Canis lupus familiaris: one gene and its partners. The protein of the gene in region 1 interacts with the protein of each later gene in a pairwise test. Links are inferred from orthologs where the notes say so. Each region holds a gene or a part of one and is shown in the gene's direction. Other genes may lie near its edges.

Region 1 (7,692 bases):
AAAAAGTTGTTTAGGCTTTTCAGCTAATCAATTTAAAGGCCATTATCCTTTCAGTGTCTCTGTAGATATTCTTTGTGGGAGTATAGATGCAAAAGATAAATCCCTATTGCCCTTATTAAATTCTGAATATCTCCATGTTACCCTCCCTTTTCTGGTGATATCAGTTAAAACATTTGTTTTTTAATACATTAATAACCAATAAGAATACATTGATATGCTTAACTTGTCAAGCATATCTTAAACACACAAGATCTAAGAGAGAAAACTATAACTATTAAGTTTAAATTCTAGTCTACCCTTTCAAGTTAAAAACCTGAAGAAGAAAGTGACTAATTTTGAATTTGAAGATAGCTTTGCATTTTTTTAATGTAACTTATTTGATATCTAAAGAACAAATAACTCTTATTGGTCAAATGTTAAACTTTGTTTCAAGAATGTTAAAGATGCTGGTGCAAAGGAAGATTGTAGATATGAACGTGAGCAGAAAATGAAATCGTGCCTCTTACATTCATTGTAATTTTACATCTTAATAGATATTCAAGTAGCAAAAAATTTGAAAGGTGGGAGGATTTGAGTAGAATATTTGGTGAAAAGTCATTAATCAGTTTACATACGGATCAAATAAATAGAGGATTTCATCTTTATTTTATTAATGCAAGCAAAAATATTTTAGTAAAATAATTTTTAAGATATAATTCTTACCTGTTGTCATTTTGATTATTTTTCAGGAAAGAAGCAACAGATTTTCATATAGATCATCAGTCAAGGCCCTTTTTAAAGTAGGTGCTGACTTTGGGGCAAGTGGGTTTTCAATGGAGGATATCCCAGAAAACTAAAGAATCGTAGTTTTACAATTCAGAAAGTTTTGACCTGGAAATCATCTGTCAAAAGGACCATAGCAACATCTTGCAGCTGTAGAGAACTGTTTTCTAAGAATTGTTTTTTTCTGTCCTTTTATTAGATTAGGATTTTTATTTCATAATTAAATATCTTAAACTATCATCAGAAGCAAATAGGATAATTTATTTAAATTATAAATGTCAAAAAAAAATTATAAATGTCATAGGTTTCTTTTTAGATTTCAGTAGATTAAAATAGAGTGATAATTATATTTTATGTTAAGTATTTTTTTAATGGTTTTTAAGATTTTTGAGTAATCTCTATACCCAACATGGGGTTTAAACTCACAGCTCTTATGACTGAGCCAGCCACGTGCCCCTGGGTTGAGTGCTTTTGTTGTGCTCTTGGCATTCCTGTGTACATAAAACGATGTTAATGGAACCCTTATTTTTTCACTAATACTTTTGTTCCTTGAAATAGAGCAACTAATATATGTTAGAAACTGATGTTCTAAATATTTGGGATGTATTTAAATTTAAGTGAATATTGTGAAAATTATATTACTATTGACAAAGAAATGCTTACATTTCTAATAAAGAAGGATATTAAGCTGCTATAATAAACATGCTATTTGGTATCCTGCATATGATAGAGTTTTTTAAAATTGTATATGAGAAAATTATTATGTTAGAGATTAGTTTAAATCAAGTAGTATAAAATATTCCCAAGCCTTGTTAGAATATATAATTTTCTTGGAAATTATTCTTTATTGTAGTCTTGCTTTATGTTTATATAACAGTACCTAATTTAATGTCTTATATGTAATTAGCATGCAGTAAATATTTTTAAGATTTTATTTATTTATTCATGAGAGACAGAGAGAGAGAGAGAGAGGCAGAGACACAGGCAGAGGGAGAAGCAGGCTCCATGCAGGGAACCTGATGTGGGACTCAATCCCTGGTCTCCAGGATCATGCCCTGGTCTCTAGGATCACGCCCTGGGCCATAGGCGGCGCTAAACCATTGAGGCACCCAGGCTGCCCGCATGCAGTAAATTTTATTAAATGAATGAATTAACTAGTTTTCTGGTATTAATGAAAGACACAACAAAAGATGTAGCTACAGTTGTTGGAGGTAGTCTCATAAAGCAGTATTTTTTATGATGAGGCACTACATTCTCTGCATTATTACATGCCACACTCAGGTCATAGGCTTAGTCTACTATGTGTTTGAGAAATCTGTATTAACAGGACATTAGGTTATAAGTTTCTTGAGGCAAGGATATCGCTGAATATTCTGATTTGTAGTAGGTAATTGTTAAGTGCTTATTGAATGGATAAACATGGATTTGTTCTCTTGATTTTGATTCCTTAAATCTATTTTTTTCCTTTTTTTTTTTTCTGCTAAGGCCTAGCAGAATATGTATGAAGAGGTCATGTGGGCCTTTTAGAATGGAGGTTATGAATACTTCTTTGTACATCCTGTTTTTTAGAAATCCTCTTCAAAATGAATTGAAATTATTTAAAAGTATGGAAGGGAGTCAATGATTGATATAAAATAATCAAGAATTAATAGGTATAAAAGGGTCATACTGTGTGATTTTCTCCAGGAGAATCCTGTCCTCTCTTATAGCTTGGATGAGAGAGAAGCATAGGCTTACTTTAAAAAGTATTCTGTCCCTGCCTAACACTGTGGGAGGAATGGTGTTACTTATTTCACGGTTAAATTTGTCACCGTTGCCTTGTGCATGTACAGAAGTGGCAGAGGGAAATGAACTGTTGCTTTTCATGGCTTGGGTTACTGTGACTCAGTGCTGGATTTTTAAAAAAATTTTCATTTATTTATTTATGAGAGATACAGAGACAGAGGCAGAGACGCAGGCAGAGGGAGAAGCAGGCTCCATGCAGGGAGCCTGATGCGGGACTTAATCCTGGGGCTCCAGGATCAGTCCCTGAGCCGAAGGCAGGCGCTAAACCGCTGAGCCACCCAGAGATCCCCAATGCTGGATTTTTAATCAAGAACCTGTATGTATTCTTTAATAACTTGAGATAAGAATATCCCAGAGTAGCTTTTATAGGATATTTTTTCATAAATATCAAATATAAATATCAAAAATAAAAGGATATTTTCCCAAGACCTATTAATGTCTGTTTTTTCTTTATCACTAAGACCAACTCAGTGTTTATTGACTGAACATTTCTGACATTCTTTGAATTCTAATCTACACAAAAATAAATTCTAACTGTAAATATAAGACCACTCTCATCATTTTCTCTATTATGCAATTTTATGTAACTTCAGTGGTAAACCACATGAAAATAAAAAGGAATTTCCTTCTGTACCTTTCAGAGCAATGGGAAAAGCATTAATCAGTAATATGCATTTTAAGTCACTGAAGTAGCCTTAAATTCAATGAAACACTGATTTCTTTCTTTCTTTCTTTCTTTCTTTCTTTCTTTCTTTCTTTCTTTCTTTCTTTCTTTCTTTCTTTTTTTTTTTTGGTAATGGTAAATGATTTGGCAATGCTAGTGATCTGTAGTGACTCAGACTACCACAAGACACTCAACTTATGAAAATTTTATTTTGCCAATGCATATCTCACTATATCTGGTAGTTCTGAGATCATAATATTAATGTGTGTGTTGAAATACTCTAATTGTAATATATCCTTATTAACAGAGATACGAGGTTGACAGAAAAATGAAGCAAATCAAGCTTTTATCTATTTTGTAGTGAGCTTATCCAGTTTATTACAAGTGGTCCTACTATTGCCATGGAGATTTTAAGAGATGATGCTATATGTGAGTGGAAAAGGCTACTTGGACCCGCGAACTCTGGTATGGCACGTACAGATGCTCCTGGAAGCCTGAGAGCCCTCTTTGGAACAGACGGCATAAGAAATGCAGCTCATGGCCCTGATTCTTTTGCTTCTGCTGCCAGAGTAAGGTGTTTTAAAATATTTTAATTCTGTTTTTGTTTTTGTTAGATGTTTTATGTCAGAGTAAAGCATATCTGTCATGGCTGACTTCGGGTAGGTTATACAGATGATCAAGGAGTAGAGAAAACCTTTGACCCTTTGCCTAGGATTAAAGTGTTTCAATAATATGTTTCTTTTGTGAACTGGTAACCTGGTCATGGTCAAGATAAGTGTTCTCCAGTTAAAATACTTGTCATCTCAGTTTACATTCCAAAGTCATTTAAATTATTCAGGCTCATCAATGTTTGAATTACTGACTTAATGTGAGACCAGCTTATGGATAGTAAATATTCAGAAAGGAAACATCATTTAATATATTTTATTTTTGACTCAGATCTAACACTATCTTCAAGTTTAACATCCTTTTCCTGTACAGAGCTAGTGTTCATGAAAAAGTCTTTATGCTTCCTACAATTATTTCTTATTTTTAAGTCCATATAAATAAGGTGTAATACTGGGTTTATGCTGATGTTGATTTGATGAAGTTGCAAGTTTATTCTTAGCATCACAACAAGTTTCTCATCTGATGTAAGATGGCTTTTAGTCTGGTCATGCTTTCGTTAAAATAATATTAGACAGTTTTTTAATAATTGAATTTTCCTTACAGTTCCATCAAAAGATCCTTTCAGCAATTCCTTCAAATTAGACTTTGAATCTGATTGTTGTGGTCTAGGTCACTGTTATATTTTATTTGTACTACTGCAAAATAGTAGTAATTCTTCTAATTCTCTTTTCCTCTTCCTTTTCCTCTTATACTCAATTTATAAAAATTTTACCTTGCCCACATAAAATTAACTAGGCCAAGAGTGATCTTTTAAAAACAAATAAGATTAAAAATTCAATTATTAAAGACTCCTCAGTGAATTTTTATTTCTTTTATAATAGAATCACAAGCTTCCAGAGCTTCACCTGATCTGATTCCCATCTGTTTCTCCAAATTTATCTCCAAGTAGTGTCTCCCTTATTCACTGTATCCCAGGTTCACTGACCATCTTACTATTCCTTGAAGAGTGTATTTTTGCCTGGTCATTCAGTTAACAGGAAAGGAGGCAGAATAATTGAGTGGGAGTGAGGGAAAGAGGGGCTGATGAGGTCACAGAAATAGGGGAGATAGCACATGGTTTTGTAGGCCATGGTAGTATTTTTGGCTTTTTCTCTGAGGAAAACTGGGAGGTATTGCAGGGTTTTAAGTGGAGGACTGATATATTTCACTTGGTATATAAAAGGGCCACCCTAGCTACTGCAATGAGAATAGACTGTAGAGGATTAGAGTAGCAACAGGGAACCCAGTTAAGAGGCTCTTAGGATAATCCAGGGAGATGATAGCCTGCACCAGGATGGAAGCAGTGAGAGGAGTATAGAGATACATTTTAAAATGCTTTTAATGGTTGAAGGTCAAATGAGCAAGATCTCCTTCCAGATTGAATGTAGAATATGAGAAAAAGAGAGAGCAAGGATTACTCCACAAAGTTCTTGGCCTGAACAACTAAAAGGCTATAATTTGCCTAACCTGAAATAAGGAAAACTATGGCTAGAGTCAGTGTAGATGGAAGCTCAGGAGTTACATTTTGGACATTGCAGACTTAACATGCATGTTAGTTATCAAAGTAGAGAAATGGTAAGTAAAAAATCTGGTTATGCGAGTTTGGAGTTGGGGAGGGAAGTCTGAACTAGTGTCATAATATGGGGTCACTGGCACCTGGATGGTATCAGAGTCATGAGACTGGTTGAGATTACCTGGGAGAGACTACTTATAAAGAAGAAAAGAGAACAAAGATGGAGCCTTTCTGTTCTAGTAAAAGGCTGAAGAGCAGCAAAGGAGATAGAGAAGGAGCCATCAGTGAAGTAGAAGGAAAAAACTCAGACCTAATTATGTTCTGGAGGCCAAGTGAGGAAAGTATTTTAAAGAGAGAGAATGATCAGTGGGGTCAAATGAGGCAGATCTATCAGGAAAGAGGGGAGGCCGAGAATTGACTATTGGACTTTACACTACAGAATCATTGTAGAAGTTGGTAAAAGATGGAAGAATCGAGGCAAAGTCCTGCTGGAGTGGATTTAAAAGAAAATTGGAGACAGCAGATATAGAAGCTTTTTTGAGGAGTTTTGATGCAAGTTGAGAAAAGAAATAAGGTGGTAGATATGAGGAAAAGCAGGGTCTTTTTTTTTTTTTTAAGAAGAGAAGAATTACAGATGTGAAAAATTGAAGATGTAGGAAAAAGAGGGAGACTTAGTGGTACAATGTCATTGATTAGGTGAGAAGGAATGGAAATTAGAGCACAGACTGCACATTGGTGCAGGGATAGTCATCTGGCACAACAAATGGGAAGGCAGATTATGTCTATGTAGATGCTTATTCTGATTGATTCACTTTTAATAAGACAGGAGAGAGCAAGGTCAAAAACAGCAGAAGTGAGGATAAGGGACAAGGTGTTTATTGGTTTGAAGAGAGAAAAGATGTAAAATAATGATCAAAAAGACTAGGAACCTTTAATCTGTGGAATCTGATACTGTCTCTGGATAGATAGTGCCAGAGTTGAGTTGATTTCTTAGATACCTTGCTGGTGTCTGAGAATTGCTTTGGTGTTCTGTGTGAGTAACCCCTCCCCACATTGGAATTGTGTCTGGAACACCTAAAAGACATATTTTTATTGGATATTAATATAGGTTGTATATATTTAATACTGTTGATGCTGAAAATAAGTGGGTTCAGAAATGTAAGGGAGGGTTTATACTTTAATAAAGATAAAGCTAGTCTTGTCTTAAGTATATATGTTTGTATGTTTCTATGTTTGCACATATATAATGTGCTAAGGTTTAGAAAAATGCATATCTGCAAATACAGTTTACATAATGATTTTTTTCTTCTTTTTGTAGTGGAGAAGCTTCTGCAGAGTTAGCAGGGCATGATCTGCCCTGCTTCTGTTTAGGTCCTATTATTTTAGTGTGTGATTTGTTTGATCCTTTATCCTAAAGAAATGTCTTAAACATAATTTTTTCGATTTTGTACACTTAAATTTTTTAGCTCTTTCTGACATTCATCCCTGAAATATCCCATTGTTATGAACCTTTTAGGATATACCTTTTCTTAGCTCTTGTCTTGGGAGGAGTATTGTGGACATCACATTATCTGACTAGCTATCAAAGAGAAATTCTCTTGCTGGAACACACAGCATACATGAGGAAGTGGGGACAGTGCATGTAAATAAAAAATTGAAAAACATCATACAAGCATCCCCAAATAGTCTCTCCTTGATCTTAAATTCCTATTAGTTACTATTTAATCCTCTTTTCTGTCTTATCCAGACTATATTCACCATTTTCTCTTCTTCATTTGCCTTTGACTACTCATTGAGAGCAGTCACTACAATTTGGCTTCATCCTTTCATTCCACTGACATCATTTTGGCTAAGGAAAATTGTTCATTTCTTTTGTATCTTTCCAGTCAGAACCCTAGTAGAGTTTTTCATGAAACCTAATGAAATTCTTGCATAGAAGAGCCAAAAGAGCCACGGAAATTTTGAAGGAGAGTATTGGTGATAAGATGGCTAATTTATGCAATAGGAAGCCTTTTATAAAGCTTTAGTAGGAAAAGCAGTATGATATTGGCATGGGAGTAGACAACTATGTCATTGTAATAGCCCAAGTGCTCAAGAAATGACTGAGCATATCAAGTGGCAAGTGTGAGGAGAAACTAGAACCTATGCCATACACTGTTGATGAGAATTTCAAATGGTAGAGTCACTTTGGAGAACAAGTTGGCAGTTAACTAAAAAACTAAACATATTACCTACCCTATGATCCAACCATTCTTAAGTATTTTCCTAGGAGAAATGAAAGCAAATATCAACACAAAGACTTATACAGAACAGTTTTGTT
Region 2 (8,129 bases), on another chromosome or scaffold:
CACCCAAGATCACTCAGCCAGCAGTGGGACCTTCAACCCAGGTCTTTCGACACCAAGGGCCATGCTCGTCCCCTTGCCCCACTTACTTTTCAGTCAATTGGAAAAAGGTAACAGGGTGGAGGATGGCATCGGGGTATCGGGGTTGTCCTGAGGAGAGACCAGCAGCGCCAGGGACAAAGGGGAAGAGGTCATAAGAGTAAGAGAGGGCATCCCTGGTGGATGAGAGTGGACGTTGCCAGAAAAGGCTGCAGGAGGGCCCAGGGAGCTCGGGGGGTCTTGTAGGATGGCCAGACTGGAACCTTCTCTGAGCCTCAGCACTGGAGATTTCTGGGCGGCCACGTGGTGGTCAGTGCTGATCTTTCCTTCTTTTTCCATGGGGACTAACCCAACCAAAGCAATGATACACAAGTGCTAGAGCATTCTTTGACCCTCCCAGCCCCGGGGAAAAGGGTCTGGCCCAAACCCTCAGAAACCCTCCCTGACTCCACACTGGACAGCAGCACCACGGCCTCCAAACGGGCCAGGGATGTCTCCAGAAGAGTCTCAAAGTCTTGAGAGATTCAGATTCAGTCCTACGCCCACCCCAGCTGCAGGCCCCACCACCCCACCTGCCTCCACAGCCTGCACTTGCTGGCGCCCCGGCCTCTCCCAGCACCCCCTATTTCCTTAATTGTTTAAATCAAAATCGTTGACAGAGATTCCCCCTACATGGCAGATGCAGGGCTGGGCCTCAGGGAGTCCCCCTCTGCCCCGTGCTCCTCGTCCTCCCTTGGTTCCTCTGCAGCTCTGGGCTCTCTCGGTGGCAGCAGCGAGGGGAGCTGAGGGGAGCCTCCCAGGACCCGCTCCCTGCACCCACCTCACCGCCTCCAACCTCCCCACCGCGGGGAGGTTCCTCTCCCTTCCTCCAACACTCACTCACGCCTGGGGGAAGTCCCTTCTGAAGTCCTCCCCAGTCCTTCCGGAGGATGGAAGGATATTTTGCCCTCCTTGTTTGGGCCACAGACCCCCGCCCTCACACCTCAGCTGCTATTCTAGACACCTCCCTCCTCAGGGCCCAGTAGGTCATTTCCAGCCTAAATGATGAAGCAAACCCTGGAGGGCTGCCAGGGCCCAGACCCTCCCCATCCCTAATCCCCACCCCTAAACCCACCGGCTAGCTGGCCCGGCTGTTAGCCCCGGCCCTCCCCCTCCCCCTCGGATGGAGAATGTGGGAAGGGGGAGGAAAGGGCTGACCCCTTATCAGGGTCATCTCGGAGCTTACTCAGGAGATAAACTTGCCTCTCAGGTTCCCGCTCCCCCTCAGCGGAACGACGCCAGAATGCAATCCCCCCTTAGAGGCGGCCTCTGTACTCCAGACTTTGTCTCAGCAGGCCACCTCCTGCCCAGGCTCCCAGGGCCCTCCCGCTTGGACGCCTGTTCCCCTTCCCTCCCGGCCACCGCTGGACTCCACTCCGCGGCCCCAGCGCTGGGAATCTGCAGCCGAAACTCCCCCCCACCCCCCTCACCCCCCTCGGAGTGAAAGGGCTCTGAATCACCCGGCAGTCTGGAAGGGGCAGGAAAGGGCAGGCCAGCCGGTGCTAGAAGCCCGAGGCTGGTATTTGCCCGATGCTGCAACAGGTCAGGAATGTGGCCATAGACATCAGCTATGGGAGATAAGACCCAGCTGGCTGCTCTCCCCCTCCGGCCCCAAAAGGTCCTGAGCAGTTGGGATGGGGTAGGGATCAAAGAAGTATCTGGGCAGGAGTTTGGTTAAGAATCCTGGGATCTGGGCCTGATCCCTGGTGGAATTTAAAGTCCCCCAAGGGTCTTAAGTGACTTAGACCTCTTATCATTGAACCACTTTACAATTAAATCGTCGCCCCACCTCGGCCCTCCTGGACGTGTGGAGGACTTACTACTCTGCAGTAAGTAACTGGTATTTATTCGTCTCATGGAGGAGTGATAACACTCACACCCACCGGCACTCAAGGAGATAGACTGGGTGGATGGGCTTTATTATTCTCCCTGTACGAGTGAGGAAACCGAAGTTTAGAGTGAGGTGACTTCCCCAAGGTCACACAGCCGGCCTAGAGTCCAAGTTGGCTGACCCGAAGCTTAGCAAAAACAGCCAAGGCAACACACCACACGTTTAATCTGTGTAAGGTACCGTACAAGTCTGCACAACACGACGGTTCTGGAACCCAGCGGGGGAAGGCGAAGGTGAAGGCAGGAGGAACCCTTGAAGGGCTGGCACCTCTCATGCCCCAGAAGCCTGCCATGCAAAGCGAGCGGGCGCCTATTTGCCTGCTACTTTGCACCCATTTGCCTCTTAGCCTTCGCAGGCCCTGGTGCGCCCCTGGCCGGCTCCCACATTGCAGGGCTTTCCTCAGCCAAAGGGCAGGCCCGGGAGAACCAGGGCCAAGCCCCACATCTGAGCTGTGCCTCCCCGGCCGGTCCCCTGGCCCGGCTCTATCCCTTCCTCCCCCAGGCCTGCCCTCACGGCTGCCCCCAATCTCTTCAGTTCAGCTGGCAGCTCGATAAGAATCAATAGGTCCACTCCAGAGCAAAGAGCAGAGCCGAGTGGACCAGGTCAGGCCCTGCTGGACAAACGGGCTGCTCGCGGTGACAGACCAGAAGGCCCTGTACCTCAGGATTCCCCAGGTTCACTCGGCTGGGGATGGCCACTGGCCCCAGACGGAGCAGTGGGAACTTCTTTGCTCCCATCCTTTTTACCTACCTAGGTCCTGGGGGACAGGCTTGAGGTCCAGGGAGGAGAGGCAGGAGGGGGGGGGGACACCTGCAGAAAAATCCTAGTAAGGATGGGGAGGGGGCTGGCCACAAGGGCTGACCCTACACCGTGTGGGACCCCCTGCGATCCCTTGATGGATTTCAGCCTCTGTTATTGGGGCTATTTTCCCAGCAGCAACTCTAGGAGGGTCTGACACACAGTAGGTGCCCAATAAATACTTGTTGGACTGTAAAGCACTCAGGAAGTGTTTGTTGACCCCAGGGTGTGGGTAAGGCTGACACACACGTGTTTAGAAATGAAGAGTGTTCGGGCGTTTAAATTACCAAGTGTCCCGCTGACGGCAGGCTTCCTTGGAAAGGGAGGGGAAGGGAGGGGAAGGAAGGGGAGGGGAGGGGAGGGGACCAAGAGGGAGGGGATTCCGAGAACCGACCTGTTCGTACTTGGTGGGTGACCTGACCCCGAGTGGGTGTTTGACAATACACATGGCTACGATGGGGCGTGGGTGCGTGCGTGCTAATGAACAGGTGCAAGGGGGTATGTTTGAGAACCGAGTGTGGCGGGGGTCGTGGTGTAGACTGGCAGATGGGAGACTCAGGGTTGAGCTTCTCTTCCTTTCCAGCCCCAAACTTTCCTTCCCCACGACTCCTGGGGCTCCAGGACCCCCCCAGATGCTCTCCACAGGTGGGAACTTGGGCTGCAGGCTGAGGATGGTTCAGAGATTCGCACCTGACGTCACTCACTTATCATCTCCCCAAACCCCCAAATTCCAATGTGCCGGGACCTCCCGTACCCTGGGGAGGAGGATCTAAGGACGTTATTTCCTGCCCCAAACTCCGCGTGGAGGGCCGGCTCCACCTGCTGCCCTGGTCCGTCCAGGTTGCTCACCGCCTCTGCGGGGGGTGGAGGGCGGCCTTGGCTGCAGGGTGCGGGGTGCCAGGGTGTTGGGTGCTGGGGGAGGGAGGCCGGGGAGGCGCGGCCCGGACGCGATACCCCCGCGGTGCACCTGCAGCCCAGCCTGGGGGGGGGGGGGGGGGGCGGGGCCTGCCGGGCCGGTCCCCACCCACTCCTGCCAGGATATAACTTCGGTGGCGGACGCTGCACCGTCCCTGGCCCGAGCCTGAGCCCTGGCCTCCCGAGTCGCCCTCCGGCCCTCCCTCCGAGCAGCATGAGCTTCACCGCCCGCTCCACCTTCTCCTCCAACTACCGGTCCCTGGGCTCCGTGCAGGCGCCCAGCCACCGGGTCCGGCCCATCAGCAGCAGTGCGGCCAGCGTCTATGCAGGCGCAGGGGGCTCGGGCTCCCGGATCTCCGTATCCCGCTCCACCAGCTTCCGGGGCGGCTGGGGGTCCGGGGGCTTGGCCGCGGGGATGGCCGGGGGTCTGGCGGGCATAGGGGGCATCCAGGGCGAGAAGGAGACCATGCAGGACCTGAATGACCGCCTGGCCTCCTACCTGGAGAAGGTGAGGAGCCTGGAGGCTGATAATCAGAGACTGGAGATGAAAATCCGGGAACACCTGGAGAAGAAGGGCCCCCAGGTCAGAGACTGGGGGCATTACTTCAAGACCATCGAGGACCTGAGGGCTCAGGTAAGGGGGCCACCCCAACCCAGAGCCTTGGCATACCCTGTTACGTGGGCGGCTTCTTCCTCCTCCCCCAGGGATTGGAATTTTAATGGGGTGGGGTGTCCGACTCCTTCCTGCTTTCTATCTCCACCCCGCCCCTCTTCCACAAGGAGGGGGTGCATGCCCTGGACTTCCCCCGCACACGCACGCCGGTTACAGGGACTCCAAGTGCGGTGACTGGGCATGGCAGGGCCCTTTCCCAGGCGAAGGGGAGAAGGGGAGGGGCGAGAGTCTTGCAGAGGAAGTCCGCGGCACGGAGGGAGGGACGGGAGATAAGGCCCCAGAAAGAGGACCTGGACACCTGACTTCTGCCTGAAAGAGGACAATTGGAGGGTTAAGCGGATGTGGCTAAGGCTGAGTCATCTAAGAGTAAACAGGAGGCCTACCTGTGGGAGGGGCCAATGGGGGCGAGCAGGGGGGAGGTGAACAGGTGCACTAGGAAAAAAATACCAGGAGAGGGCCGAGGAGAGGACTGACTGACTTCAGGGCAGGCGGGCCTCGGAGAAGGGGGGGTGGGAGACCGGTGGGAACTCTGGAATTTGGGGCCCCAGGAAAGGAGCGACAGTGTGAGGGGGCACAGGTGGAAGGGGGTGGGTGCACAAGGAGAACCTCTGACTATGCCTGGGATCGAGAAGTTTCCACTCAGACACAACACTGCCAGGCTCGGCCCCCATCACTGACTTCCCCTTCACGGAGCCACCTCTCCCCAATCCCCCAGATCTTTGCAAGTGCCGTGGACAATGCCCGCATCGTTCTGCAGATTGACAACGCCCGGCTCGCTGCTGACGACTTCCGCGTCAAGTAAGCCTGGGGCTGCTGGGGAGGCCGGGGTGGCCCCAAGAACCGTCTGGTGCCGGCTGGGCCACTCAGGCGGGGGCTCACAGCGGGATCTTTGGCTCTGGTCAGAGCGGGGTGGGTAGGAGCTAGGCTCCATGTATTTATTCACGGATATAACCCAGTCTACGAACATTGTCCCCCAAGAACCGAGAAGGCTGCCCAGAGGATTACCACCTGATCCAGACTCCGGCGGCTGGTTTGCGGGGGCCAGGGGCGCTCTCAGATGGCCTAGTGAGAAGGTCCTGGGTCAGAATGAGGCCCTCTGATCGCCTCCCCTCCCCCTGCCCCCAGGTATGAGACGGAGCTGGCCATGCGCCAGTCCGTGGAGAGCGACATCCATGGGCTCCGCAAGGTCATTGATGACACCAATGTCACTCGGCTGCAGCTAGAGACAGAGATCGAGGCTCTCAAGGAGGAGCTGCTCTTCATGAAGAAGAACCACGAGGAGGCAAGCAGGGGCCCCTGGCCAGGCCGGGAAGGAGGAAGCCAAACAAGTCGGGGGTGGAGGGCACTAGATGGCACAGGCCGCCTGCCTGTAAGTAGCTGGCAGAGAAGTTTAGAACTACCAGCCCGGGCTCTCCTTAATCAGATCATTGCCATACTCGGTCACCTGAATTGCAGTGTGATGGGGTCAAGGGGACATGGGTGAGAGAGCGAGGAGAGGACAAAAGATAGAAGCAGCCAGCACCACGTGTGAGGGCTGCTGGAGGAGTGAGGGCAGGTGGCGCTGAGAGGGCTTCCTGGAAGAATGTACAAGGAGGAGGTTGTGGAAGGAGGATAGATGGAGGGACAGAGTGAAGTGAGGGAGAGAAACCACCTGTAGGTGATAGATTTGGGCAGAGTGGGTGGCATTTTATTCATCGGCAGTAGAAAACCCAGGATTGGCATCGCCCAGAGTATAAAACCAAGAATCTTCTCTGCTGCTTTCTCCAGCTGATCCCACAGGTCTCCCACGAGGGACAGTTGCAGGAGAGGAGCCTTGTCGGAGCTCTGACCCCGAGTCTCTCCTCACTCTGATCCTCTCTCCTTTAGGAAGTAAAGGGTCTACAAAACCAAATCGCCAACTCTGGGTTGACGGTGGAGTTGGACGCCCCCAAATCTCAGGACCTCAGCAAGATCATGGCAGATATCCGGGCCCAGTATGACGAGCTGGCTCAGAAGAACCGGGAGGAGCTGGACAAGTACTGGTCTCAGCAGGTGCACGAGGGGAAGGGCTGGGTGCCCGGCTAGACACAGAGGCCTGAGGCTGTGGGAGGGAGGCGAAGGAGGGGGGACCTGAGGACTATACCCACCCTGCAGATCGAGGAGAGCACCACAGTGGTCACCACACAGACCGCTGAGATCGGAGAAGCTGAGATGACCCTCACGGAGCTGAGACGTACCGCCCAGTCCTTGGAGATCAACCTGGACTCCATGAGAAACCTGGTAAGCCTCACTTCACCAGCTCCAACTCCCCCTGGCCCTGCCCTCTGTCGGCCCAAACCCAATCCCGTCTCGGCCCAATCCACCCCTTCCTTCATAAATCTTATGCTCAGAAAGAGTGGTTCTCTGCATTTCTCACTGCTCCCACCCACGGCCCTAGTACCTGGCACGCCCTAAGTTCTCAAGTTTCCAAGAGATGGGATGAGCCGTCATGGGACTCGGACCGCTCTGCTAAAACTTGCTGAGACTATCCTTCCGCTCCATGGCGAGGCTCACCCGATCCTCCTCCCTGTGCCCCCACAGAAGGCCAGCTTGGAGAACAGCCTGAGGGAGGTCGAGACCCGCTACGCGATGCAGATGGAGCAGCTCAACGGGGTCCTGCTGCACCTGGAGTCAGAGCTGTCCCAGACCCGGGCAGAGGGGCAGCGCCAGGCCCAGGAGTACGAGGCCCTGCTGAACGTCAAGGTCAAGCTGGAGGCTGAGATTGCTACCTACCGTCGCCTGTTGGAAGACGGGGAGGACTTCAGGTAAATGGGCCTCTCGTCCCACCCTCACCAGCCGGGGCGGGGAGATGCTTCTCCCCAGAGCCCCTTTGGTAAGCCCCACCACGTGCCCGTTCACTGGGGTCCTCTGAGCACCGGGGTGGAGCTCTGCGAGGGCTCCTGCATCTCCAAGGGAGTAACGGTTGCAGAGGCCCCCCCAACCCTAGAGAAGGGAAGAGAGTAAGCCTTGCCCCGGCCATACTTAGAGCACACATGGAGTTTGGCCTTGGGTTTCCCTTTTATGGAGGAAGTAGTCAAAAGAATACGGAGATAAAGGCCGGGATCGGGAGGGCTTTTTCAACCCTTTCCTTGACTCCCTGCTACTCTGCAGAGCTGTTTATAACCGGGGCTTGGGCTTCTGTTACAGTCTTACTGACGCCCTGGACAGCAGCAACTCCTTGCATACCATCCAGAAGACCACCACCCGCAAGATCGTGGACGGCAAGGTGGTGTCTGAGACCAACGACACCAAAATTCTGAGGCGTTGAGGCAGCAAAACAGGGTACCCTTTGAGGAGCAGGAGGCCAATAAAAGGTTCAGAGGTCACTTCGTGTCTTCCTTGGCTGTTTTCATACCGTGTGCAGGTGTCCTGACCCCAGTAGTCCTTCCTCTGATCCGGAAGAAATCACTGCTGACCCCAGGGGTTTCATATGGAGGGGTGGGGTGGCCCGAGGAAAGGTCTGTGTTCTCTTCTGAGAACTCAGCTCAGAAAGAAGAGGGAATGGTTGATGAGAATCCGTCTTTTCAAATTAAAAAAGGGATAAAAGGGGGCACCTGGGTGGCTCAGTGATTGAGTGTCTGCCTTCGGCTCAGGTCGTGATCCCAGGGTCCTGGGGTCGAGTCCCACATCGGGCTCCCCGCATGGAGCCTGCTTCTCCCTCTACCTGTGTGTCTGCCTCTCTCTCTTTCTGTGTCTCTCATGAGCAAGTAAATAAAATCTTTTTAAAAAGGAGAGAGAGAGATAAAAGTAACAGGCACA
Region 3 (6,791 bases), on another chromosome or scaffold:
CCTGCCACTTACGAGGCACTGTCACACACTGGATTCTCACAGCCACCCCTGGAGTTAGGAGCTGGAATTTTTCTATGCAGATGGGACTCAGGCAGAGTACAGGAGTAGCTGAGAGCCTAGGTGCCAGGGCCAAACTCCACTTCCTACTTACTGGCTATGGACCTATGGACAACTGTTTTTCTGTCTGAAAATGAAGACACTGTTGTGCAAATTATGAGTCAGTATTTGTAAAGTGGTTGGGACAGTGCCTGGAATTCATATGTTATATGTATTAGTTCTGACAGGGAAATGAAGGCACAGCAAGGTTATGAGACTTGCCCAAAGTCACATAGCTCCCAAGCAGGGATTTGTCACCAAGTTAGTCTCTCTGTCAAGTTGTGCTCTTTCTGGTCATACGGAACGAGCAGCTGCATTGACGGTGGATGAAATTGTGGCTTCTGTCCTGTTGAAGCCCCTCAATCTACACAGACTTCATCCTTGGCTTTCCATTTCTTATGCCTCAGAAGTTCCACCTCGTGCCAAGCATCAATGCTGTGAGTGGCAGCCAGGACCTGCAGTGGATGGTGCAACCCCACTTCCTGGGACCCAGCAGCTACCCCAGGCCTCTGACCTACCCCCAGTACAGCCCCCCACAGCCCCGGCCAGGAGTCATCCGGGTCCTAGGACCACCTCCAGGGGTACGTCGCCGACCCTGTGAACAGGTAAGTAGCAAAGGCATTGCACTGGTTCTGATGCCCATAGGGGTGCTGAGGTGCAGAGGACAAGTTCTTGGCCAAAAGAACACAGGCAAGGCAGCCTGGGTGGCTCAGCAGTTTAGCACTGCCTTCAGCCCAGGGCATGATCCTGGAGACCCATGATCGAGTCCCATGTTGGGCTCCCTGCATGGAACCTGCTTCTCCCTCTGCCTGTGTCTCTGCCTCTCTCTCTTTCTCATGAATAAGTAAATAAAATCTAAAAAACAAACAAAAAACAAACAAACAAACAAACAAAAAACAGACTTAGAAAGGGAGTGCTGGGGAAGAAGAGCCACTGATGACTCCTGGCCAAAGCTGAGAGTAATAGGAGCCCTTGGGGTGATCCAGAGGGCAAGAGGTGATTCTAGGCTAGGGAAAGCTTTCTGAAGCTGGAGGTATATTAGCCCAGAAGGATGGGTAGGATCTTCATAGATAGAGATGAAAGAAAAGACATTTCAGGGAGAGAGGATGGCAGGAACAAGAATGGAGGTGGACATGAGAACGTGTAAGGTGTACATGTGGAAAGGTGGATGGATGGTAGAGGGTATCCCTGCTGAGATGTATGCTGTCTATGTGCTGGGAGGGAACAGAAAGGGGAGGGTTCCCTGTAGCTACTCTCTGGGGCTGTTTCCCTATCTCATTTAATCTTTACAAATAGCCTCTAGGGATGCACTCTGGTTTTCTCCACTTTACAGCTGGGAAATGAAGGCACAGAGGTAGTCACTTGCCCAGATTACACAAGTAGTGAGTAATGAGACAGGTCTTTTCAATTCTAAAGTGAGATCCTAACCATCAAGCCACACTATCTCATCCAGAGCTAACAGAGGCTCGAAGCAGAGTGAGTTGGGAACTCTTGACTCCCCAACCAGGGCTCCTGCCTTCACACTAAAAAAAAAAAAAAAAAAAATCTTTACCAACATAAATAAGAGATAGAGGGTCTTTAAGGGAGTTGCTCCTCTTTCATTTTGGTTTATGAGACTGTACTGGAGTGAGACTTACTCATTAAGGAGCTTGCCCTGACAGCAGGGTAGATGAGAAGTCAGGATCTTGCAAAGATGAACAGTTAGACAGGAGTGGCTTTCCCAGAAACAGCAGGATTGGCAGTGTGACCAACTGCAGAAGAGGACCATGCTGTGAGGTCCCAGAGGCAGGCTCCTGGACTTCTTTAGCCCTGACCTGAGGGTGGCTATTTGTTTCTGGGACTCCTAGACAGGGGCTATGAGCTCTAAGTAGGGTTCTTTGTGGGGGGCTGGTCCCCATCAGCAGGCCTCTCAATATTGAATAGAGTGAGTGGATTTTAATTTCTGCTCTGGGACCATAAAGGAGTTATCTATCCTCTCTGGGCTTCAGTTCCTTATATGGAAAGTTGGGAAAAAAAAAAAAAAGGAAAGTTGGGTAAATAATCTGTGTAAAGCTCTTAGCCGGCATGTAATAGGTTCCTAATAAAAAACAACTTACTAAATAAATAAATAAATAAAAATTAAAAAATAAAAAACGTACTCAGCAGCAACACTCATTAACTCCTCTTAGTGCTTACAAACCCCTGGGGAAGAGGACACTTGGGTGGCTCAGTGGTTGAGTGTCTGCCTTGGGCTTGCTGGTGATCCCAGGGTCCTGGGATTGAGTTCCGCATCAGGCGCCCCGCGGGGAGCCTATGTCTCTATGTCTCTGACTCTCTGTGAGTGTCTCATGAACAAATAAAATCTTTTTTTTTTAAGGGGGGGTGGAGAATGAGGGTCCTTCGAGAAAGAGCAGCTGGGTCCCAGAGGCTCAGAGTAATAAAGGCTGCTTCTGGCTGGGCAACGAGAGGAGGCTCCCTGTAAGAGTGGGGGTATCTTGGTTGAGTCCTGAGAGATGAGGGGGGTAAAGGTTTACGGAGAGTGTGGTGGCGATGGGGGGGGGGGTTTGCTTCTGAAAGAGGAACCAAAGGAGGCAAAGCTGGGTGCGAGGAGGAAGAAATCTGATTAATTCAATCTTACTAAAGCGTGAGTGCGGAGAACCAGTCGCGGCGCTGTGATCCCTGAAGCGCAGGCTCGCGGGTCCCCGCACGGCCATGCCCACCGCAGGGTCCTAGCACTGGGCCGCTGCACACGGCGAGTGCCGGGCAACCAGAGGCCAGGGTCTACCTCACTATTCCCTCTACCCGTCCAGATCAGCCCCGAGGAGGAGGAGCGCCGTCGAGTGAGGCGCGAGCGGAACAAGCTGGCCGCGGCCAAGTGCAGGAACCGGAGGAAGGAACTGACCGACTTCCTGCAGGCGGTGAGCACCCACCGGTGCGGAGGGTGTCCAGGCCGCGGCCCACCGAACCTCAGACGGGCGCGGCTCCCCTGAGCTTGCAGGGCCCCAGAGGGGCGCCGGTATATTAAGTCCCCTTCCCCCAGTCCCCGCTGGAGGAGCAGTCCTTCGGAGAAAACGACGAGAAAAATGCGATTAGAAATTAGTTACCGCGCGTCTCACTCCCAGAAAAGCAGGGGAGAGTCAAAGCTTCCGCGGACAATCTCCTTCGAAGATGCTCCCGGGCCCGAAGGGAGTCGTGCCCATTTTCTTCCAAGGGCTCATGGGAGTTGTAGTCCAGACTCGCTGGAGACCCCCCCACCCCCACTCCCACTCCCCCAATTACCACCACCTCCTGAGGCTACGCGGTACTCAGCCCTCATCTTCTAACTCCTCTCCTAACCCCCTGCAGGAGACCGACAAACTGGAAGACGAGAAATCCGGTCTGCAGCGAGAGATTGAGGAGCTGCAGAAGCAGAAGGAGCGCCTGGAGCTCGTGCTTGAAGCCCACCGCCCCATCTGCAAAATCCCGGAACGGGCCACGGAGAGCGACACTGGCGGCGCGGGCGGTCCTAGCAGCCCACCAGCCACCTCCGGCCCTGTACCTTGTATCTCTCTTTCCTCGGGGCCTGTGCTTGAACCCGAAGCATTGCACACCCCCACACTCATGACCACACCCTCCCTGACTCCTTTCACCCCTAGTCCGGTCTTCACTTACCCTAGCACCCCTGAGCCCTGTGCCTCAGCCCATCGCAGGAGCAGCAGCAGCAGCGGGGACCCATCCTCTGACCCTCTCGGCTCCCCCACCCTCCTTGCCTTATGAGGCACCTCAGCCCCGGTACCTGGGGATGCCACTCTAGCCAATGTCTCCCCACCCATTGGTCCAGCTGGTCTGGACCATAATCCCATGCCCTCTTCAGGTTCTTCTCCATTCCTCCAGATGACACTGAGCATATTTTGCTTCCTAGTAGAGCCAGCTTGGGGTCATGTAACTGCCCACTGTTTTTCCAGAGCTGGCTTCTTTAGCACAATTTGCACTAAATCAGAGACAAAATATTTCCCATTTGTGCGAGAAAACTCCTGGCAACCAAAAAGGACTTTGTAGATCCCTCGGAGTCCTCTAGAGCCCTAACCCCCTTCAGACCACCACACCTATAGTCTTCATCACCCTCTTCCTGTGATCCACCCAATCCTACTCTGACAGAAGGTGGTATTCTACCAGCCTAGAACACTAACTCGCCCAGCCCCACACTGCCAGCAGCACCAAGTGATTGAACCAGGGCATTCTGCTGGCCCCTCCTGAATGGTAGGAGAGTGCCAGAGGCTTCTGTGACGAGCTGAACTGCACCCCCCCCCCCTCCCCAGCTCTGAGAAGACTTTAGCTCCAGGGAATCCAAGCCTCCAAAACGAAGGCAGCTGCTATTTATTTTCCTACAGAGAGTATTTTTATACAAACCTGCCAAAATGGAATAAAAGGCTCGAAGCTCTGTCCTGGTCTCACTGAACCCAGAAGCAAAAGGGAGAACATTTCGAACCAGACGCCCTAGGCTCCGGTCTCAGTTCTACAGACTTACTGCATGACTTTGGAAAATTATTTGATATCTGGACCTCAGTTGTCTTATCTGAGGAATTGTTACATCTGCTATGCCTCATCTCCAAGATTGAAAGGAGGAATGGAGTGCTGCTGGGTGCAAACTAAAAGGATTATCTGTCTTTCTCCTGATGGGGGCCCACAGCTCGCCTGCGTGGGCCACAGGAGGGCGCTCTTATGCCCTTTTCAGCCTCGGGGGAGGCCGCTGAGTGGGTTCTAGGCCCCCAACACCTGCTTCCTGCCCCATTGTCTTGGACAGGAAGGAGCCGGGAAGGGAGCTGGAGCCACTTCAGGGGCCGGATTACGGCCCCTCCGGAGGTCTAATGGGGGGAGCTAGGGGCTTACCACCGTCCCACATCCTGCCCCAGGCTTGAGGGAGTGGGGGAGTCAGCCACCTTAGTTCTGCAGCCCCTCCGGACGGTAATGGTACCCCGTCTCAACGTCCCCGCCCTCGTCCCACCCCGGGGAGTCCCAAACAGACGCAGCCCAGGCCAGGGGCTCTGCTTCCGTTCCAGTTTATTAGCCCCCACCCCGCTCCCAGCACGTCCCTCCGCTCCAGCCTCCAGTCTCCCTGCTGCCCCACCAAGAGAAAGCAAGGGGCCCTCCTCGGTGCCAGAGTTTCCAAATCCATGCCAGCGGCCCCTCGTGCACAGGCGGGACGGCGTCCGGGTCCGGAGGTCCACCGCAGTCCCGGCGCTTGGGAAGCAGTCTGGTCGGGCGTCGACGTGAAGGAAGATGAGCCTCAGTCATCCGGGGAGCAGGCCAGGGGCAACTGATCTGGACTGCCCACGCTGCCGGTGCTGGAGCTTCCATCGCCCAGGTCGCGGGGCCCGCAGGGGGGCAAGGCGAGCTCGGGTGTCGGCCCGGAGCTTGAGCCGCCAGCGCCGCCGGGGCCGCCCCGGGGGCCCCACTCCTCACCCAGAGCCAGGCAGAGCTCCTTAAGCGCCAGGTTCTCCCGCAGCAGCTCCTCCTGGCGGCCCTCCAGCTCGGCCAGCTTCTGCCAACAACCGCCCAAGTCCTCGCGCACGGCTCGGGATGCTTGGGTCCCGAAGAGCTGCCACTGGCGCGCGGCGCGCCGCCCGCGCTGGCGCTCCGAGTCCAGGAAGCAGCAGAGGTCGCGCAGCTCGCGGTTCTCCGCCTGTAAGCGCCGGTTGAGCTGCTTGAGCTCGCGGATCTCGCCCAGGTGACCCTGCAGCTGCCGATTCACCTCCTGCATGAGGCGGCCGCGCTGCACCAGAGCCGCCAGGCGTGCCGCCTCCTCCCGCCGCAGGCGCCGCACCAGCTCTTCCTTGCCTAGCGCCGCCATCTCCTCGTCCGTCAGCTCCTCCAGGCCGCCCGCCTCGGCCTCCATGGCTGCTCAGGCCTCTGGAGCATCGCCTGTCCGCCGCCGCGGCCCAGGAGCCCACGTCGAGCTCTGCGCGCTCGGGGTCGGGCTCCGGCTCCGCGGGCCGCAGGCTGTGGCGGGGTAGCGTAGGCTGCAGCAGCCGCCCGGGCGTGGGCACGCGGCGGGGCGCGCGCTGGGGCGGGGCCGTATGACGTTAAGGAACGACAGCCAATCCAGAGAAGGCTCCCCTGAAAGGGGCGGGGCTTGAGCACGGAACACAGAGAAGGAGCGAGCCCCTTCCCCGCCCACTCCAGACCCAGGAGTGACCCTTCCATACGCTGGGTCCCAGCGCCACCACCCTCCGCGACAGGTAACCCTAAACTAGGCGCTTCGTACTTCCCAGTTCCAAATTTCCTCACGCTCTAGCCTAGGCCTCTCGACTCTTTCTGAGAACTTAGACTCCGGTGTCGGCCACCGACTCTCAAGCCCACCCCTGACGGAACCCAGAGGGGTCTCGTCTCCAACTTTTCTAGCTTAATTCATGCTCGAGAGTCTCGGCTCATTGAACATCACTTCCAGCTCTTCGGAACCCGGAGTCCAAACGTGCCTGGCTCACCATCAGGCTACCCTCTTAAGGATGGTTTCCTGTCCAGGGTGGGGGCGGAGGGTGGGGAGGCACATACAGGGATTCATTTATTCAATAAACTTTTACTGTGTGCAAAGCTCGGGCAGAAATAAACTTGACTAAGATTCTGATCCTGTCCTCAAAGAGGTCATAATTTAGTGGGGGAGACAGGCTGTGTTAAACAAGAAGTAAACGCGGGGAGAGACATGGTCCAGAAAGGTTTCCCCGAAGAGGTGGTAATCT
Region 4 (7,017 bases), on another chromosome or scaffold:
CATCAGGTCCTACCAGTCTCCTACTAGTAGGGTGGATAGGAGTATTCCCAGAGTCCCCTCCAAGCATCCTTCCACCTCAGGGCCTGTGAGGCGGTTCAGCCCCAGATAGTACAGGTCCTTCTTGCCACCCGTCATCCTAAGCCCTTACCTTGAATGTTCCTATCTCCAGTAGAACTCCCCCAGCCATCCCATTTAAGGATAGCACCCTGTCCCCACCGGATCACATTCCCCTTAGAACTTAATGTGTTTCTCCATAGCACATATTCCCAGTTCATCTCTCCTCTCCGTGTGAACACACTGGCCTCCACAGTTTCCTCAGTCAGCCATCACCAACCCTAGGGCCCTTGACTGCTTACAGGGAGTGTGGGCTCAACTCCCAAGGGTCCACATTTGGGGTTGGAGTAGAGCTGTCCCAAAGTGCCTGTGCAACCAGGGGCAGGTGCACTCCCTGAGGGTGCAGTGGGAGGTCTCCGATGCCTGAATGTGTTACTGTGTTTTCCAGTGAGTGGAGAGAAAGTACGCCTGAAAGAGATCTTGAACAAAAAGCAAGGTAATTGCAGCGACTCCATCCCCCTGCAGAAGCCAGTCTCTCCATAGTAGCTGAAGCCCTTTGAAACCTGAATTAGCTTGTATTCCTCCTGTGGCTTCTACCAGCCAGATGCAGGACTTGATCCTGGAACCCTGGGATCATGCCCTGAGCCAAAGACAGATGTTCAACCACTGAGCCACCGAGGCATCCCTCCACTAGACTTGCAGTAAATGACAAAGTCCCATCAGGTGTCCACAAGCCCACACATGATCTGACCCTATTTTCTACATCCAATCCTGATGTCTTGAAGGATTTTCACGTGGCCCTTGGCTCCTCTCCCTGCAGAGACCCTAAGAATCCTCAGGCTGCACTGCCAGGAGAAGGAGAGTGAGGCACAGAGGTAAGAGCTTCCACCTGGGCCTTGTTCTGCCCACCCCCTTGATCTGGGTGGAAAAGACACCAGGAAAATCAGCTCTGGACCCACGGTTGCATTATCTTCCTCTGTAAAAAAGAGAAGCTAGATGCAGGTCTTCCCACCTCAGTCCCAACAGCACACAGTAAGGGTACTCTGACTCACTCAGATAATCATTCATTTGCTAGAACTACCAAATTATTTCTGTGGTTTTATTCTATGCCTGGTACTCTTTCTAAAATAGGCTCCTTGGTTCTCTGTGCACTCATGTGTTCCCTCATTTAGGCATCTAGCCACCCAGTGTCTCCATCCACTTCAATATTCGTTAATCCATATCTCCACATAACCTTGATTTAGCTCATTTCATGACCCAGAGTCCCCAAGCCCTCGTATACCAACATTGGAATGGTGTGGGAAATTTGGAGGAGATTAGTTATCTGTGTGCTTGTGCACCTGTGTCCATGTTGATCTCCCTGATTTCACAACAGTATTTCCAGGGGACACGTGCCCATGCCCCCCCCATAAAGTGATCAAAGAAGGACCTCAACCTGGAAAGCCAGAACAGACCCCAAGAGGAAGCAGAAGCCCCACCCCAGCCCTCTCCTGGGGAGGTATTCAGAGACTGTGAGAGCTGCCTTGCCTCTTCCCAGGAAGCATACCATGCTGCAGGAGTGCAAGGAGCGAATTTCTGCCCTGAACTCCCAGATTGAGGAAGAGAAGAATAAACAGAGGCAACTGAGGTAAAGTCCCCGAGGCCAGGCAGAGTGGTGGTGGGTAATATTAGGGATGGGGCTTAGAAGAGCTGGCTGAGGTGAGGCCTGGAGCCTCAAGGTGGTGAAGGTGCTTCCCACAGAGCAGAGGACGTGGGCAACTTTCATATGGTCTATGCATGAAGACCCCTGGCTTGGGCCAAGGTGGGGAGGAATGTCTCAGCACATGGCTCCTCATCTTGTGTGGTTGGTCTGCAGGTTGGATTTTGAGGAACAGCTAGAGGATCTGATGGGCCAGCACAAGGACCTCTGGAAGTTCCATGTGAGTCACCCAAAGCCATTCCTCCCACCTTTCACATCTTCCCTGGCAGTCCCAGGCCCAAAACTCATGATCATGCTGCAGGCCTCCTTCCTCTCATCTGCCACCCCCAGCTCCTGAGCTAGCATGGGTGGTCATATGTCCAAATGGCCCTTAGCTCAATCCCTCGTCATCATCCTCACTGCCACCCGGTGTCCTTCTCTTCACTGGGCCTGCCCATTCATCCCTTCAGGGGCCAGGAGGAACCCTGATGAACCAAGGAGAGGTAATCCATAGAGCGGATAGGAGGGTGTGTCTGCAGCCATGACTGACACAGGGCACACAAGTGGGGATCCAGGCAGACCATCCTGACCACCTAGGAGTCCAGAGAGAATAAGTGTTAAGATGGAGGGGCTCAGTGAGGAGGCCACACAAAGGCAGGTGGAGCTGCAGTGCCAGGCTGGTAACTGATTCTCCAGGGAACAGTTGTGATTTGTAATGTTTTCGGGATGTCCTGTAAGAAATAGTTGCCTCAGACCTGATCTCAAAACTGGCAAAGTTCCTGAACATTAACCACCTCATGAGCCTCAAATGCAGCATCACAGGTATCAGGCGAGACAGTTCCAGGTGCAGACAGTAGCCAGTACAAAGGCCCTGAAGCTGGAACATGCCTTGTGTGCCCAGAGGCCCAGAATAGTAGGAAGTGAGGCAGGCTGAGTAGAGACCAGATCCAGATAGACTTCTCTGAAGGGCATGGGAAGAGGCTGGAACACATGGACAGGCCTCCTCTCTACCTACTCAGGGGCCAGAGCAGATGGCCCGGGAGATTGACACCCTGGACAGCAGCAAGGAGCACCTGCTCAAAGAAGGTGAGAGCGAGAAGGGGGAAGCCCTGATTTGCCCTGCACTGCCCTGCCGTACCCTGCCCATTGTCCCTTCTTGCTGCAGAGAAGCTTGTGGAGGCAAAGCTGGAAGATGTGAAGCATCGTCTGTGTTCCCAGTTTGGGGCTGACGGCTGCTCAACCATTGCTGAGGGGCTCTTTCTCCGCAGCCAGGAGGCTGCAGCTGCAGTGTAAGACCAAAGAGGACAGGGACAGGGAATGGGGTGGAGGGACGGAGTTTCCAGTGCTGATGGCCCCACCCTCAGGCATCTGTTTGAAGAGGAGAACAGGAAGGCCCAGGGGCTCCTGGATGCTGCTACACATCACCATGAGCAGCTGCAGCAGAAGTGCCAACAATTGCAGCAGAAGAGGCAGAGGTGGGCATGGAGGCCCTGCCCCCAGTCCCCAAGAGGAAGGTGGCTGTGAGGGCACCTCTGCTCCCCTTTCAGCTCATCTCCCCATTTCTTTACACCCTCTTGTCCCTTCTCCTCCCCCCTCCCCATACTGACCCCACCCCTTTCTGTCCAGGCTTAAAGAGGAGCTGGAAAAGCTTGGGATGCAGATCCCTGTTCAAGCCCAAAGCAAACAAGAGGAAGGGGCTGGCCCAGGAGAACCTGTGAGACCTGGAATTGGGTGGCAAGGAGCAGAGATAGCTCATAAAAGGAGCTGGGTAGAGGAAGGCAAGGAAGGGGAATCACAGAGTCCTCAAAGATGCTCTTTGGGGAAGGGTGTTCTCATAGGGCATAACCAAGACAGGAGTACAGAGGCTGGCAGTGGTGGGGTGGGAAGGGGCACATCCCAGTAAGGCTGTGGGCACAGGGGTGCACAGAGACTTCGCTTCTCAGACCCTGACCTCCCACAGGCCAATCCTAAGCTCCTAGGAGTCATTCAGGAGAAAGACCCAGAGATGCCCACCAAGGAAGGCCCTATGCCCTCTTAGGCAAGAAGGACTCTCCCTACCCTGGAGCCTATTCAGTGCCATGAACTTCAAGAAATAAAATTACTATTTCAGTACCACTGTCTCAGCTGAGTTTGTGCAGGGGTGGTAGGGCTTGTCCAGCCCAAGACCCTTGACCCCTGAGGCTGGGTAAAACCTTGGCCACATCTCCATTTGGCCTCAGCCAGAGTTCGACGGGAGGTGCCCAGTATGTGCTTCCCTAACCTCATAGTCTCTGCTCATTTCTAGGACTACACACCCTGTTTTGGATCTCCAGGCAGAAAGGTGCACGTTCTGCAAACTCACCCTGTGATTATTTGAATTTGTTACTGAGGCCTGAACTATACAGAACCTACAGAACCTGGAAATCCCAAACATGAGGAACAAGGTGCTTGGGATCTCAGCCAGTCCCTTACCCACAGTCCCCACCGACTAGCTGAGAAAAAAATAATTGGAAGCCAAGTGTAGTTTCTGCTCTTGTGGGCACAAAATACATAACTGACATACCTGTCTATACAACACAGTATGTTAGAATTTTCCATGTCCTGGGAGTCAGTCACCTGAGACTATTGTGTGCTTTTGAGGCAGGTCTCAAATCAAAAAATGTACTCCCCAAAAAAAAAAAAAAATGTACTCCCCAAATCAAGGGCAGCAAAGGTAGTCCAAGTCTGGGATCCTAGGCCAAAATGCAGTGACTAAAGTAGAGATCCTTCCCTTGGAAGGCTCCCACATGCCAGTAGGGAGGTAACATGACAGGAGAGGTCCAAGCAGGCCACCAGTGTGGAGAGCACTGTTTCCACGAAACAATGGGAAAACCTAACCTGGTGAGAAATTATTCATTCAGCCAGACAGTAAGCATCAGCCTCCCAGTTTTCTACCTGAGGTGGGGTTAATCAGACCTGTGTCATAAATGAATAGGTAATCTCAAAGTAACTCCTGCATCTCCTGGAAATTAATATTTTTCACTGCATGCCGGTGGAAACATCACCTTTAAGAACTGCATCTCAGCCAAGCCCATGATGCCCATGATTGTAGCATCAGGTTTAGATCTTTAAAACAGGACACACAATTGCTTCAACAGATGAATGAAAGGCTTTGGCAAAATCCAACACCTATTTACATAAAGAAAAATTATAAACACAGGAATAGAAGGTAACTTCATTTATACTTGGTGGTGAAGTGTTAGAAGCATTTCAGGCATATTTAAATACTATTCATGACATTGAAGTTCTAGACAGTGAAATAGGACCAGAGAAAAAGGACTGGAACCTTCCCCTACCCCTGCTCACAACCACATGACTATCTGCCAAAGAAGAAAGAAAATCCTTCCTGCTAAGCCTTGCAATCTCCCTCCAGGCCCTTTACTTGGAAACCCAAAGATCGTGTCAGCTGGAAAAGGAGAACTGTAGCCCCATCACCACAGTGGGGCAATCAAGAGTGGGTTCCTAGCTGAGAAACACACTAAAATCCATAGCTGGTGGAGTCACTTACAAGGTTAAGGTAAAGGCAGATGACCTAGAAGAGATTGTTCAAAGATTAACCTAGACAAAATACCAAGGAGCCAGGACTCGCTAGGTTTGAAAATAAAACTGTTCCTCCTTCCCAGCTTCTCCAGTTATATCAGGCTAAAGATCACTTTCAAGACACTACCAGCAAAATGGAGCCACAGAGTAAATCTCAGACCAAGGGTGCTGCTTTAAGACCCTTCCTTGAGACTCTTGGGACACCTGGGTGGCTCAACAGTTGAGCGTCTGCCTTTGGCTCAGGACGTGTTGTTCCCAGTTTGGGGGTCGAGTCCCATATCAGGCTCCCTGTGAGGAGCCTGCTTTTCCCTCTGCCTATGTCTCTGCCTCTCTATGTGTCGCATGAATAAATAAAATCTTTAAAAAATGACCCTTCCTTGAGACTCCTAAGAGTGCACCTTGTATATTCTCACAGATGATAAGGCTTTTACAAATCTCAGAGGCTCTGTCCCCACATCACTCTCAGGTTGAGGTAGAGTGGATCCTGTTCCAGAAGTATGGGGCTGGCTTTCGTCTAATAGAGTGGACAGTAGTTTCCTGTATCAGAAATCCAAAAACTTTTTTAAAGGAATCAAACCAATTTCAAATGAAAGGTTTAGAAACAGCTCAAATGAAGAAACTAGTTTTAAAAAGGGGGGGAGGTATGTCTTGTAGAAGAGAGAAAATGACTGAGTGCAGAATCCAGAACCTTGGAAGTCATCCCCAGAACCACTGCACCCTAATCCAGGAAATGATGGTGTGTCCTGCTAGAACCCAAAGTTTCTATGGACCACAGATGGCTAAGTGCCTCCCGATTCCCCTCCCCTTTGAGTGGACCAGCTGAAACTCCCATCTCCGTGCCACCACCGTGTGTCGTGTTGTGCAGGGCCCTAACTGGTCATGTCAGGTCACATGGCTTCAGCTTAAGAGCAACCACACAGAAGGGACTGCGCCCAAGACCGAGTACAGATGATGTCCTAGATTTTGAGCCAAGCAGCTTTATAAACGGACATCCTTGAGTTTTAAGTTTTTATTTATTCATAGAGACACACAGAGAGAGAGAGGCAGAGACACAGGCAGAGGGAGAAGCAGGCCCCATGCAGGGAGCCCGACATGGGACTCGATCCCGGGTTTCCAGGATCACACCCCAGGCTGCAAGCGGTGCTAAACTGCTAAGCCACCAGGGCTGCCCAATCCTTGAGTTTTAATATAGTTTTTATATGTAAGTGATGTGAACTCTATCACCAGAAAGCAGATTGTATCCACTCAATTTTCCAAATATGGCCACATTACTATGTCCCATCCCACATACTCTTTTGTAAGATGCCCTTCTGTCAATAGTTGGAATCTATTTCTCCACTACTTAAGAGTCTTCATGGGCCCTGTAAATACAGACTAAAGAAATGCAGAACAGACACTGGCTACTTAGCAGTAGTACTGGTAAATGTCCCCTTGGAGGCTAAAATCACTCCCAATAACCAATGGTCTATACTGTTTAGAAAACTTTTTTTCAATACATTATCATTTCTAGCTGAGTTTTTATAAACCTTGCTGAAACTGATCATTTTCCCTTCATGAGAAATTCACTAACAAACACAAAATTCGTTCTCTTGAAAACTTGGACAAATTAAAGATATTTATAAGGTTTCACTTTATTCTAAGTGCTCATCTTAGTGAGTCATCTCTGATAAAGGCATTCCTGCCTTTATTGGATTCTTCCTTCCTATATTTCTTTAATTTTTCCATAT

What was found.
Region 2: the proteins of NME7 (region 1) and KRT18 interact in binary tests that used the Homo sapiens proteins (3 or more experiments, as listed by UniProt). The two-hybrid records come from large-scale screens. The link is inferred for Canis lupus familiaris from reciprocal best matches to the Homo sapiens genes NME7 and KRT18.
Region 3: the proteins of NME7 (region 1) and FOSL1 interact in binary tests that used the Homo sapiens proteins (3 or more experiments, as listed by UniProt). The two-hybrid records come from large-scale screens. The link is inferred for Canis lupus familiaris from reciprocal best matches to the Homo sapiens genes NME7 and FOSL1.
Region 4: the proteins of NME7 (region 1) and SYCE1 interact in binary tests that used the Homo sapiens proteins (3 or more experiments, as listed by UniProt). The two-hybrid records come from large-scale screens. The link is inferred for Canis lupus familiaris from reciprocal best matches to the Homo sapiens genes NME7 and SYCE1.

What each region holds. Positions count from the first base shown.
Region 1 is NC_049228.1:29,198,464-29,206,155, forward strand, and holds part of NME7 (nucleoside diphosphate kinase 7), read left to right. Parts: intron 1-728; coding exon 729-779; intron 780-3,572; coding exon 3,573-3,780; intron 3,781-7,692. UniProt on the Homo sapiens protein: Possesses an intrinsic kinase activity. Displays 3'-5' exonuclease activity with a preference for single-stranded DNA. Does not seem to have nucleoside diphosphate kinase activity.
Region 2 is NC_049248.1:44,454,140-44,462,268, forward strand, and holds KRT18 (keratin, type I cytoskeletal 18), read left to right. Parts: upstream 1-3,810; 5' UTR 3,811-3,893; coding exon 3,894-4,313; intron 4,314-5,067; coding exon 5,068-5,150; intron 5,151-5,477; coding exon 5,478-5,634; intron 5,635-6,218; coding exon 6,219-6,383; intron 6,384-6,485; coding exon 6,486-6,611; intron 6,612-6,911; coding exon 6,912-7,135; intron 7,136-7,517; coding exon 7,518-7,638; 3' UTR 7,639-7,696; downstream 7,697-8,129. UniProt on the Homo sapiens protein: Involved in the uptake of thrombin-antithrombin complexes by hepatic cells. When phosphorylated, plays a role in filament reorganization. Involved in the delivery of mutated CFTR to the plasma membrane.
Region 3 is NC_049239.1:51,871,750-51,878,540, forward strand, and holds the end of FOSL1 (fos-related antigen 1), read left to right. Parts: intron 1-503; coding exon 504-701; intron 702-2,885; coding exon 2,886-2,993; intron 2,994-3,420; coding exon 3,421-3,831; 3' UTR 3,832-4,495; downstream 4,496-6,791. Other genes in the region: CCDC85B (coiled-coil domain-containing protein 85B), read right to left, coding at 5,342-5,950.
Region 4 is NC_049249.1:41,694,559-41,701,575, reverse strand, and holds the end of SYCE1 (synaptonemal complex central element protein 1), read left to right. Parts: intron 1-502; coding exon 503-550; intron 551-874; coding exon 875-929; intron 930-1,591; coding exon 1,592-1,681; intron 1,682-1,909; coding exon 1,910-1,973; intron 1,974-2,751; coding exon 2,752-2,818; intron 2,819-2,897; coding exon 2,898-3,021; intron 3,022-3,096; coding exon 3,097-3,207; intron 3,208-3,358; coding exon 3,359-3,510; intron 3,511-3,692; coding exon 3,693-3,703; coding exon of another isoform or gene 3,704-3,770; 3' UTR 3,771-3,821; downstream 3,822-7,017. UniProt on the Homo sapiens protein: Major component of the transverse central element of synaptonemal complexes (SCS), formed between homologous chromosomes during meiotic prophase. Requires SYCP1 in order to be incorporated into the central element.